Linked DNA regions of Drosophila melanogaster. Changing the gene in region 1 together with any one later gene gives a genetic interaction. Each region holds a gene or a part of one and is shown on either strand. Other genes may lie near its edges.

Region 1 (4,465 bases):
GATACGGAAACGGGCCCGGCACCGCCCAATTCCATGTACTGCGGCGGACTCAACGAGGCGCTGCGAATGATCGCCGCATTGTAATCGGTGTTGTTGGGTATCTGGTGCGTATGGTTGTCCAGCGGATAGTCCACAATGGAGTCGGGCGGCGTGGGCAGCGATTTGGGCACCAGGATGGACAGTTCAATTTTTTTGTAGTGGTACGGATTTATGCAGATCTCCTCCTTGCGCAAATGGAAGGCGTACTCGCAATGATCGAGGGGCTTTAGTTCATTCTGACTCTGGAGATCGGGCCAGCGCCACAGGCGGCAATAGATGACGTGCGGCAGACCCTTGCGCAGATGCTCGCCGGCGGGAGCTGGCTTGCTGCGCGGCACCGTCACGCACCGCGTCTGGCAGTTCTGTGTGGAGATCGCGCGCTCTAGCTCCTCCAGCTGCGAATTCTTCTTGATCTTCTTGACCAGATTCTTGACGGCCTTCTCTGACCACTTGCCCTCGACGCTGTTGTCCTCGTTGCCCTTTTTGAGTGCTAACAAACGCTTGACCACCTGCGGGGTGAATGGCAACATCTCAGGGTCTCAGGGGGGGGGAGTTCTCCTGGGCTTTCCTGGTGTCCTCCGCGTCCACTAGCTCCTCCTCCTCCAACTCTGCGTTGCCTTTTGAATACTGCTCTCACTGCTGGCGTTGGTCGAGTTTTAGTTTTAGTTTTATTTCGATCACCTTCTCTGGAATACTGGAACGGGACTGGGAAGTGGAACTGGAACAGTCCTAATGCTGCTGCTGCTTCCCTTGTGCACTTCTGATCTGGAATAGTGGAATGGGTTTAGTTGTGCGTGCTTTGGCAATTAAAACCTGATAATTGGCTTGCATGTGTGTGCGTGAGCGGCTGGATCTGATAAAAGCTCGACCCTGATGACGATGTTATTGTGATAATTGCCCGAGCGTGTGTATATGGGTAATCTATTAACTTTTGCCTTAGATTCACATTCAGATTTCTAAAGAAAGATTCAATTTAGATTTTCCATTTCCAAAACGACAATCGCAAATGCAATCGTCTGCGTGGGTTGTTGCTGTTCTTGCTATTTTCACTACCGTTGTTATTGCTATTCTTGTTGTTATTGTCTCCAACAAGGTCAAATGTCTGCGTTTGCAGACGCTTTTTTTTTGCTTTCGTTGAGTTACAGCAGCCACAGAAAACAGAAACAGAACCAGAATGTGTGTATATTTCTGTATGTATGTACACACGCCTAATCTGTGGGCAGTTTGGAATTTTCCATCTTATCGAAGGCGGGGCAATAAATTACCGAAAATAACAACAACAAAAAACATGAGCGTCGCCGGCAAGAGGGGTACGATCGAGTTAAACGCAAAAATAAATAAGTAATTAAATGTGCATTGGGGAAACAGCGAAAAGTGCACATACAGCCGCTTTGGAATGTATCCATGTATCTGTATCCGTATCTTCAACCCCCACCTAACACACACACACTTGCGCCGAGTGTCTCGCACATATAAATATTACCTGTAACGGTACCGGCAACTCGAGCTCCTCTGTCGTCCTGCTCTTGCTCCTTTCGCCTGCTCTTTCAACTTCTATCGTGCCCGCTCACTCGCACGCACACACTGCTTCCAGGTCCAGATGCACGGGAACGGTAACCAAAAGGCACCGGAACCGGGCGCACACATCCAGCCGAGCCGAGCCGAGCCGCGCCAACAGGAGGGGGTGGTGGTGGTGGTGCTGGTGGCGTTGATGGTTGTCTGGAACGGGGAGGGGGCCGTGTGGTGGGCACCGCTTCTTCAAATTTCTGTGTGTATATATCTTGTGTGCGCGCCAGAAAGTGACAGCTATACGCACACGCACACCAAAGCACAGGCACCGCACACCGACACGCAAGGAGCACACACACAGTTAAACGAGCGCACAGACACAAACACACAGAGGCACAACAAGAACAGAGAACTTATTTTGATAAATATTTAAACGCCTCCTTGTTGTTTGTTCTTATGTTATGCTCTTTGTGTTTATTTTCTATACGTTAGTAGTTCACTTTACGTTCGAATTGTGCTTTATGGGAGTAATATAATTTTTTGCGTTTCGCGATTTTGCTATTCGCAAAGTTGCAGTGTGCCCAGACTTGCTGCCCAACAATAGTGTGACCGACTGTGTAGTGTGACCGTTGGCTGAAACGCGAATAAGCTTCGACGCCACGGCTCAAAATAAAATAAGGCGTGAAAACATTCTAATGATCGTTTTGATAAATTCATATAAACAACATAAATATTGTTACATATTTTAATACTAAAATCATAAATATACTTGTTCGCAAATATATTTGCGCCACAAAAGAATGGGATTGGATGGCCAACTAATTAGTTACTAAATCGATGGGTGATATCAACTCCCTGCAAGAATCAAGTCAGACAGCTTTTATTTTTGAACGTAGTGGATTTTTTGTTTTTATTCACTTATTGGTAATTGTCAACTACCAGGATGAACTGGAGTCAAGTGCGGGAGAAGCGCCAGGACTTCTGCAGCGCCTGCTTGACGAGCTCATCCGGCGAGGGAGTATCAAAGCGGAATCTCTTCACCTGGATGCCGTAATCCTTATACTGGCACATTCGCAGGTGCTGCCGTTCCAGCGGAGTGACGGCGTACACTAGACGGGGCTTTCTCGGCTCCGGATAGCCCACCATTTCGTCCAGCATGAGCCCAATGGGTCCCGGTTGCTCCCGGTAGTCGCTATTCGCTGGTGACCGATCGGCCAGCACGTCCTCGTCGTAGTTGATGGATCTTTTGCTGGCCAAGAGAGTTACACCGGTCGTGCTCCTTCTTCCGCGATCGCAGGCAATGAAGGGTATGGCAAAAGGCTCACAATTGGTCAACTGGCGCGCCTTGCTGGCCAGCTCCTTGGGCGGTGCGCCTTTATGCCTGGCGATAATCGTGGACGTGAGGTCAATGAGTGGGGGTGCTGACGTGGCTGTATTCACCTTTGTCCCATCGCCTATATCCAGCTTCTTCATGCCGCTCTCCAACCTTGTCAGCAGGGGTATGTTCAGGGGCTCCTTGGGCATCGCGACCAGTTGGGGTAACACAAATCCCATTGATTGCGGCTTGTTTTCGCCCTCCGATCGCTGCCGTTGCCTCAACTGGATCTCATTGAGTAGCATTTGATTGTGTGCCTCCGCCTCTCGGCGGTATTCCTGCTCGGCAGCGGCATCCGCATTCGTCTGCAGCTGCAATTGTGGAATTCTAAGCTGTGGAATTTTGAGCTGCGGAATTGTGAATTTTGGCATCGCTTCTGGGCTCGTGCCACTTATACTGCTCAATTTGGACAAATCGCTGGTGGGCTGGAGACCAAACTCGGCCTGGATCGCCTGGTGGAGGGACTTCTTCGGATTGCTTGCCATTTTTCAAGGCCCAAACTCCAGCGACGATGACGAATTTGTTTATTTTTTTTTTTCTTTCTTCTTTTTTGCGTCTCTCCTTTGTTGTTTTCTTCGCTCGTTTGACGTTGTTTTGTGGCAAAGTTGTCAAATAGTTTCAACTGATTGACTGATTGTCAAACATGTTTTTATTATTCTCACATATTTTAGGATTCTCACTCTAAGCAGTTTCTTTAAAAATTTTCCGAATTTTATAAACCCGATATGCTTCCCTCAAACAATAACCTAAAATGCAGATAGCATAAATCGGCTGCACTTGACAACCCTGAACAACAGCTGTTTGGAGGGAAAATACAAAAATGGTTCGCCAAATGTTATATTTCCCTTATCAATATAGACCCAGTTTCTGTGGCGGAACTTTTATTTATAAATATGTTTTGGAACATTCATGTGTGAAAAAAAATGCAATTTGATCGCAGGTCCTATTGATTTTTTAAGGTATTAAGCATGATCCAGCCGGCAGATGGGGCCCTCCTCCACCATCTTTAGATCCACTTTGGGTCCGACCAAATCGCGAATGTTGTTGATGCCGTACTTGATCATGGTGGGTCGCTCCAGCGACAGACCCCAGGCGATTACATTCACGTTCTCCGGCAGTCCCATGGGCAGCAGCATCTCCGGCCGGAAGACGCCCGAGTTGCCCACCTCGATCCACTTGGCCAGGCCGGGGTGATAGCAGAAGATCTCCATGCTGGGCTCGGTGTACGGATTGTACGCCGGCTTGAATTCAAGCTGCGTGATGCCCAGCTTTCTGAAGAACTCGTACAGCGTGCCAATGAGATCGCCCAGCGTCAGACCAACATCTGCAATCACGCCCTCCACCTGATGGAACTCCGCCAGATGTGTGGCGTCCAGTGTTTCGTTGCGGAACACCTTGTCGATGCTGAAGTACTTGGCTGCTTTGAAGCCGCCCTCCTGGTTGGCCAGCTTGTACAGCATCCTCGCACTCACGGCCGTCGTATGCGTGCGCAGTAGATTCTTCTGCGCCTCCTCCAGCTTCCAGTCGTAGCCGTAACCCTTC
Region 2 (4,465 bases), on another chromosome or scaffold:
TTTTTAGCTTGATTTTTATTCAAATCTATCAGAAATTCATTAACAGTGTTAGCATCATCTCCCTGCATTTGGGAGGATGAACTTTCATCAAAAAAATCAGTCATTATGTGGTCGCCATAAGTGTCATTTATAGACAAATGAGATTCGTCAATGCTTTCCATGCGATTCCAAACAGTAGTTTTTGAAGATGCATTATAATCTCTATAAAAGTTATCTATTATATTTTGTGGTACTGAAATTGGTTTTGTTATATTGGGAAGTTTTTTTAAATTCAAGCGCATAAGTATGTGCATTTTAATCGATTCTATACTATCCACTTTGGCTTTCTCACGCAACTGACGCTGTAGCATACTTTCTATATTTATTAAGGTATTGCGATACAAAGATACACTTTGAACTCTTGATAAATCTCCATGCTCTGATACCTTTGCTAAAGGGGTACTTTTTTTCCCCGGTTTACTTTGTACTTTCATTTGGAATATTCCCATATTTTCATTTATTTTATCATCCGCCGATATTGAAGAAGAACCATTTTTTTCTGATAGTACTTTTGCACTATTGTTTGTTTCGTTACTCAACATAACCATTTCCGGACTATCGTTGTTGGAAGAATTACTGAAGCTTTTATTTTCTGGCTGAGCATAAGCATTGACTGCAGTCGATAAAATTAAGAGTACGGTGACCGTGACATATCGAGTTACACGGAAATTACCTCTCTTATGTCCAAGAATATTCATTCGCCCGATATTTATTTTTTTTGAGTCAAGATTAAATCTGTAAGAACCTGGAAACTGGATTTCGTTGGAGTTCACTTCTATGTGAACTGTTGTATCTGATGTGTTCTGTCGAGTTTTTTTCTTTAGGGTTCTATGATGCTGATCATGGGTTTTATATTTTCTCCAACCGCAGCATGAGTTGGCCAGCATGATTTTTGATCAAACCGTTGATGAATGCTGAAAAGGACTTGTATTTATAAATATACTTGATATATTTTAAAATAAGAAAAAATAAAAATAATAATTATTATTTATTTTTGGAGACAGCGGCTGGTGATCTTGTCATCCAATCAACTTGGCTCTTGTTGGCCTTATTTTACAATTTTTTTAAAAATCAAATCGCGAAATACAAGCTGTTAGATAATCCCCTGCTGTATTCGATTAAGTCGGATTCCCAAGGTAATACCTTAAACAGCTGTGCAGAGAAAAAAGAAGAGCGCACCCCTTTAAACCCTATTAAAGCATTAGCACGGAAGTCAATGATTCCCCTTCGCGAGTCAATACAAAAAAAAAAAAAAAAAAAAATTGAATAGCTTACGCCACTGACGATCTCTAACTTCAAAAATATTAAAATTATTGGCAAAATTTGGACAATATAATATTTCGGTTTTAAATTGATAGACTTTTGACGATCATATCATATAGCTAACTGTTGAAAAAAATTATAGACTCGTTGTTTTCAAATAAAAAGAGTTCTTCTTCAGTATGCACATTTTTTTGAAAATATATAATTTAGGTTTTTAATCGATCAAAATCAGACGACCATACACTTATATACCTGCCATAGGGAAAAATGGCTCTATGGCTATAAAGCTTAGGAAAAAACACTGACAATTGTAAAACCATTTTTCGTCACAAATCGGCACGGTGAGGCTGCGATCGTCACTTGATTTGTGTGCTCGTGAATATTCTAAAACTCGGAATAACGGAATAATAACCTTCAAAAACTTGTTTCAGGCTACGAAAAAACTTACTTTGAATATAGTAGAAGTATAAAATCCTGCAGCACCGGATATAATGATTTTTAAAAATTAAAAATCATATCTGCATTGTTTGATCCGCCTTGGAAGCGCGATGCGCCAGCAGAAAATGACCACCCTAATGTGCACACAGTCGTAAAAGTTAGTTCAAGCTACATATGTACATGCACATATGCAAAGCCCGTTCATAAACGTTTCACATGAGTCCTCTTTATGACCACTATTGTATTCAATTAAAACCATTTATAAACATAATAAATTATTGTGCTCTTGAACTTCAGTTCATCGCTGAAAGTGCATTATTCCCCTTTTACAAGCAGAACAACGTAAATGAGATATATCATATGTATGTACATACGTAAATTATACATACATACAGAATAAATAGCATGCATATAAGCACATATGTACATTTTTAAAGCTGTGTATGTACAAAGTTATGTACATTTAGCGATAACAAACTTTTTAAACACCTACCAATTGTACATAAGTAGATATATACTTATCTATCGGTATTTATTTTATTTTTATACACTTGTACAACCAAAATCTATTTTGAAACTAGGCAATTGTGTGTTTTAATATATGTATAGTATATATTATTAAATGTTTTATATTGAAGTAACAGTGGGCCTACGGTTTCGAACATTATTCTTTTGCAATCCGCTTTTGTTAAATTTATTATTCATTGTCCAAAAACACATAGTTTGAAAAAATTGTGTATTCAATTGCGCACTAAATAATAATAATTTATTTCTCATAGAGAACCAATATTTGAAAACCCGCAGAGATTCTGTACTGCTGTGCGATTGAGCGACGAAGTAGAACTGAAAGCAGCTGATCAGATGCGATCGGATACATACGGCTCACCGGCAATTTCGTTTTAGTTGGCATAACAGGCCGCTTTTAAAAATGTATCTGCTGAAACGCATTGCAAGAGTAAACTTTAATTCATATTAACATTTTTATCGAGCAAAATAGCATTATATTAAAATGAAATATTTATTGAATATACTCCTACTTTTTTTTTTACAATTCTAGAAAACATTTTATTTATATTTCCACTGTCGCTAATAATCACTTTCTATTGTAAATCAATTTAATCCTTAAGCCGTTTTAACTCTTATAAGTTATGAGTGTAGACATTTTTACATTTCAAAGATTTCAAATAGACCCGAAGAAACTATATAAGATATATTTTTATTAGCAGGATTTGATTTGTCTCTATAATTTTGGTTCCCTAGTTGTTTTTTTTTATTACACAAAATTGAGTGCTATTATACAACAAAAATTACATGCGTATTAATTTGTACTACTGGAATGACTATATTGATACAAAGGAATTTTTAAAATTTAACCGAAGTTCCGCATTCTTGTCCTAACATTTCGTGTTTTAAATTAACGGCAAAAATGTCGTTACTCTGGAATTAATAAAAAGTACCCAACGCACTTACATAAGTATGCAAAAATAATTTTATGTGTATAAAAGAAACTTATATTAAATCAAGTACATATTCGTGCGGGTCCCCTTTGTTCCGCAGTCTTCTTATATAATTATTGCCCATTAATATGGTTGTGTAAGAAGGCAATCTGGGAACTCCATAAAAAGGGTAGGGACAATTACCGCGATGTCTAGTGTTTTCCAGATTAGCTGTCGATATATCGACGCCCGTACAGATGTTTAAGCCTTTCCACACATACATTTATGAGTTTCCTATCGATATGGAAGAAAACGATAGGTGTTCACACTGTACTAACTTATTTTTATTGCTTTGTATCAGCAATTCTGTTGTTTTACTTAAGAATAGCAATTCAAATGGAGAAGACTTCTTTTATGTATCAACAAAGTAACTGATAAGAGATTATTTATTGGATGGATTGTAAGCTACTTATTTTTTCCATTGTGGTTAACAATTTACGATTTTTTTTTGGTTATAATAAAGATTTAAATAAAATAATTTCAACAAGTGCGTCAATTTTCCTTCATCTACGCACATATAGATGGTAATCGTGCGATAAACCTAATATTACGAAAATGGCGATCACGCATTCAACCGATAAATACAGAACTAAAATACTTCCTGATCAAAAACAAGAATTTATAATTTTTTTTCTATTATTTCCACTACGTTGCAATTTTCTGACAGAAATCACTATACGCTCTGCAATGGTTTAACAATAGGAAACGCTTTAGTTGGCTTTCAAATATTTTTCACAACATTTTCAACGAGTAGATTAGTTGAACTATTAATAGCTCATTAATGGACCGATTCTTTAGGTCTGCTAAATTATCATTCTTATATCTGTGAATTTATTTATTTACTGCATCGAATTTTTGAAAATAACGTATTCTCTACGCAATCACTGGTATTGGGTTGCCATATCGATTTCTATATATGTTAAGAGTTGCCGTTTGTATTTTTACACGCCGAGAGTTGCCATCCTGATACGAGCAGATGCGTGCTGAAGTCCAATCGATACTACAAAATACCAAAATACACAGAAAATATAAACAATATTGCATAAACAATATTGTACGAACGTTCGTTTTAGTGTTTAATCACATACTGTTTTTCCCCCATCCGAAAATCGAAGAAAATGTGTGACAATCAATATCTAATAAAAGAATCAGGATACATGTGCGACCATTCGTAATATAAATATGTATGTATATTTTGTAAATATTATTCCCTACTAACTAAACCCATC
Region 3 (4,221 bases), on another chromosome or scaffold:
GGTGTTGCCACAATTGAATGGGCTAAAGTGTACCTTCGATAGCTTGGAGACGTCCCAAATCAACGTGGAGGTGGAGCTGAAGAACTTGGCCGGAGTCAAGGAGCTCAGCGAGAACTCCAACTTCAAGCTGAACGTGCTGGAGCATCAATTGAAGCAGCTGAATCGCACTCAGGAGCAGCGCTTGGACATCCTAATCGATGCAGTCAAGCATTTGCAGCCCCACAGTTCCTGGAAAGTGGAGGCTGTTCTCCGCGAACTGATCATCTCGCAGAAACGCATCGAACTGGGTCTGGAAGAGTGCAGCCGACAACAGCCCTATCCGCAATATGGCCATCACGACGAGTCCTATCTTCCCACCTACGGAGCTGAGGTCCCAGAGCCGCAGCATGCTCATCCTAAGCCCAAGCAAGTGGATCTGGAACAGGTGTGGAGCATCAAGGAGGAGCCCAAGCACGGTAAGTGGTCCTTATTGCCACCAGATTAGGATCACAAATTAATGGCTTGTCGTTCATAGGAGAGCACTCTGGAAACCACAAAGCTACCGCCTATGCCCAGTCCCCCGAGCCAAAGAAGAACTATCAGAGCTCCAGCGCCGTGTCCTGGCGGCAGACGGTGCCGTGGGAGTACGGATCCCCATACCAGTCCGCTCCAGTTCACCACCATCAGCCATGGAACCCAGCTCCGGCCCACGTTCCCACCTCCGTTACCAAGCCCAAGCCGTGCCCCAAGAAAGAGCACCCTACTCCGGCATCCTATGTTCCTTTGCCACATGACCAGCCTGAATCCTACAAGCTTCCTGTGGATTACAGTCCCAAACCTAACCACGAGCAACCTCATAAGCCCCACCACGAGCCACAGTCTTACAATGAGGAGATCTACAAGCCACAGCCCATCCAGCCAGGAGAATCCTTCAGGATTTGGTATGGAGACAGTTCCCTCCCCCAAGGATACTAAAGGAAGATTTAACTGGGACTACCACTGTTACTGAAACTGATACAACTTTTCAAAGCATTTAACAAACTCTTTTTTTTTAATTCAGATTCATTACTTTGTACAATTTTTATGTTTTATAAATAAATAAAAAAAAAGCAAAGGAAATACATTTTTGATTATATTCCTAGCAAGTAATTAATAAATAACTTTTGAGAAAAAATGCTATAGTTTCATGGAAATCATATGCATCAACTTTTAGCATCGTATGCGAAAATATACATTCAATTTCCAAAAACTTTTCTCAAAATCTATTCAAAATATACGAAGAAATTTTTGTTATTTTGTATGTTTTGTAGGTAAATAAATTCACCTTACTATTAACCTATGCTATTGTTTGTTGATAGAAGCAAATTTTAAAAATATTTTAAGCTTTTTTAAAAGTTAATAGTAAAGGATCCAAGTTTGTTTAAATTTGCAAAAGGCATCTTGGCCAATTTTTGAATAGGCATGATAATATGAAGGATAATTAATTATACTGCTGTTTTCGAAATAGGAAACAAAATATAGACTTATTAAACTTTTACAAAATTACTTTAGTTCGCTTTATTACTTTATTTCTTGTAAACGATAGACAGTATGCCCGAAAACATTTGTTACGTTATCATTACCTTCGAAGACCTATTTTCTGAATGAATTTGAACAAGAAGCAGCTGGGGCACGTTTTTCAGTGGTGTTATTACTACCGTAGCACACAAAAAACCGGGTCAATCTGTTCTGTTTAGAAACAAAGAAGAATTTTGAAACGTGACACTACACGGATTTTCCCTAACTTTACCAAGATGTCGATGAACCAATAACTATTTAGTACGACTACATGCAACATAATTCGCTTTAGTTCTTTCTTTTTACAAGATGATAAAACAGTTGTTCGCGACTATCTTCTTAGTAGTAGGGAAATTCTCGTAAACACACTATTACAGATTGGAGCAGCATTTGCACCTGCACCCGCTGAAGAGAAGTGGGTGGTGACCGAACTGATAGAACTTAACCCAGTCTAAGACACGTTTTGGACCTTAAGTTGGGCTACTTAAGTTGCGGTTCGGATCGAAAAGAGACACTCAGCGGGGAGCGGCCATCAGAGAAACACCATGAGAGTGCGACTGACTTTGCTAACGATATGCATTTACCTATGCGCGGCTGCAGCTGAGGATCTGGACTCCATCCATGAGATCCGCAGTGAGGTGGAGGAGCTGATCAAAGGTACGGAGGAGCTAAACCATGGGCTGCAGAAAGTGAAGGACGTGCAGAAGGGCATTGAAGAGAAGTTCAAGCATCAGCGCGACGAGATCGAACTCATTGCTGGATTGGAGGTTGCCATAGCCAAGCTGGAATCGAACGTTCAAAGCAGCTTCCAAGCCACGGCCTCTGGAGTGGGAAATTTGACAGCCATTGTTAACGCAATCCAGGGTCAGAATGAAAACTCTATTAGGAATCTTACCAAAGTGGAGCTAGAAATCAGGAAAGCCCTGGAACAAGTGGCTGCCAATCAGAACAAATACGAGCAGAACCTAAATGAAGTGGCCTCATCCGTCAACTCGCATCTGTCGGAGATTCAGCAGCTGCTATCACAGGCCGTCATAGGGGAACTCATCGGCTTGGACAATAAAGCGAAGGTCCTCCAGGAGCAGCAGCGCAACATCGTGGGTCAAGTGGGATATCTGGGCGAACTTAAGGCTCTGGCAGATCGTGCCAATCGCAAAGTCAATCAATTGGAGTGGGGTCTGGTCATTCTCAACCGCACTCAGTCCGAGAGCCTCAACAGCATCGAGCACACTGTCCATGGAGTGCAGGTGGCCACCTCACAGGTCGATCATAAACTGGCTGCCCTACTGAACAATCAGAAGAACATTGAAAGGACGCTGGATGGCTGCAAGCACAAAAATCCGTCACACCAGAAGCCCCACGAGATCTGGACTCACCCGGAACACGCACCAATTTACAAGTAAGTTTGTATGCCCTACTTCTGGGTGCACACTAAAACCACTCTTTTCATTTTAAGGCCAAAACCAGAGGGCAATCAAGGATACGAGAACGTCTATGCATCCCAAGAAGAGGCTGAATACCTATACAAACTTTGGTATGGAAAGGGCCAGTAGCATTAATACGAAAACTGAAGATAGATGTTTTATGCCATATTCAGAAATTGCTTGATTTCCTATATCAAATCCCAGCATGTCGATTCTATCTATCTTATATAATTGTATATTAAACCGTTCTGTAACACAATGTAATAAACAAGAGTAAATGGAGGAAATCGAACTTTATAAGTTGTATATTGCTAAAAAGTGTTATGTCCAACTTTATATATCAATTGTTGGAAAACTTATAAAACTAGATAAATGCACCTGACATAGAGGAAACCGGCTCTACCTCTATAATTTTGTTGGATCCAATGGATGAACCTGACCATCATCCCGCTCAAACTTAATTATCAGCTGCGACTGATGCTGGTTCCAGTGCTCCGATCGATGTAATTTAGCATTCGTCTTCGAACGGAATTCCTCGACTGACAAATCGATCTCAATTTTTTCGTTACTTGCATCCGGATCGGCGGGGTAAGCATCATCTCCTGGCAAGAGATGCACTAATCCATTTGTACACTTGTGCACTACAGGATGAATCAGCTGAATGCCTTTGACCTCACGCTCTGCTGCAAACTGACGCAGGTTATCTAAAGAGGAGAAGTTTAGGCAGCGCGAAAGTTCATAGAATTGTGGAGGCGGCAGCCAGAGTTCTTTTCTTAGGCTCGCTTGAAGGTAGTCCAATGGGGAACGCCACTACAATAATATAAATGATAGTACATTAAATGCAACTTAAAGGTTTCGCGTATCGCTCTTGTGCCGTATAATATCCCACCCACCTACCGCAGAATCCTTGACCTCATTAGGTTCGATGTGAACCCTGGGTTCCTGTTCCAGGGCAGTCATAAAGAAGGCCGTCTCGAAGCGCTTCTTAAACGTGGACGGCGTGCGCCAGACAGACCACTCGTGAAGTGACCAGACATCTGGAAGCACATCCAGCTGCTTGCAGAGCTCCAGGAACTGGCTGGCATTGTTGTGGACGATGTGCTGCCAGTGGGCGCGGTCAAACTGGTCATAGAACGCTCCATAATCGCTAGTGGAGGTCAATGATTTGCTGTCCCTGCACAGCAGGATACCCAACTCCTCGAAGGTTTCTCGTATGGCAGTCAGCCGCAGAGCTAGGGATCTGTTAGGTGCGAAAATAATG

Evidence for each region.
Region 2: of Smox (region 1) and myo, changing one suppresses a phenotype caused by changing the other (phenotypic suppression), as found in Drosophila melanogaster (2 studies listed by BioGRID).
Region 3: of Smox (region 1) and CG13083, changing one suppresses a phenotype caused by changing the other (phenotypic suppression), as found in Drosophila melanogaster (one study listed by BioGRID).

The regions. Positions count from the first base shown.
Region 1 is NC_004354.4:8,140,114-8,144,578, forward strand, and holds the start of Smox (smad on X), read right to left. Parts: upstream 2,167-4,465; 5' UTR 1,523-2,166; intron 805-1,522; 5' UTR 570-804; coding exon 1-569. Other genes in the region: CG17982 (uncharacterized protein), read right to left, coding at 2,503-3,408; alpha-PheRS (Phenylalanyl-tRNA synthetase, alpha-subunit), read right to left, coding at 3,886-4,465.
Region 2 is NC_004353.4:693,464-697,928, forward strand, and holds the start of myo (myoglianin), read right to left. Parts: upstream 2,593-4,465; 5' UTR 2,234-2,592; exon of another isoform or gene 1,875-2,233; 5' UTR 1,751-1,874; intron 954-1,750; 5' UTR 927-953; coding exon 1-926.
Region 3 is NT_033779.5:19,485,443-19,489,663, forward strand, and holds CG13083 (uncharacterized protein), read left to right. Parts: upstream 1-2,047; 5' UTR 2,048-2,081; coding exon 2,082-2,935; intron 2,936-2,992; coding exon 2,993-3,089; 3' UTR 3,090-3,249; downstream 3,250-4,221. Other genes in the region: CG13084 (uncharacterized protein), read left to right, coding at 1-455, 515-954; CG10194 (uncharacterized protein), read right to left, coding at 3,366-3,770, 3,858-4,200.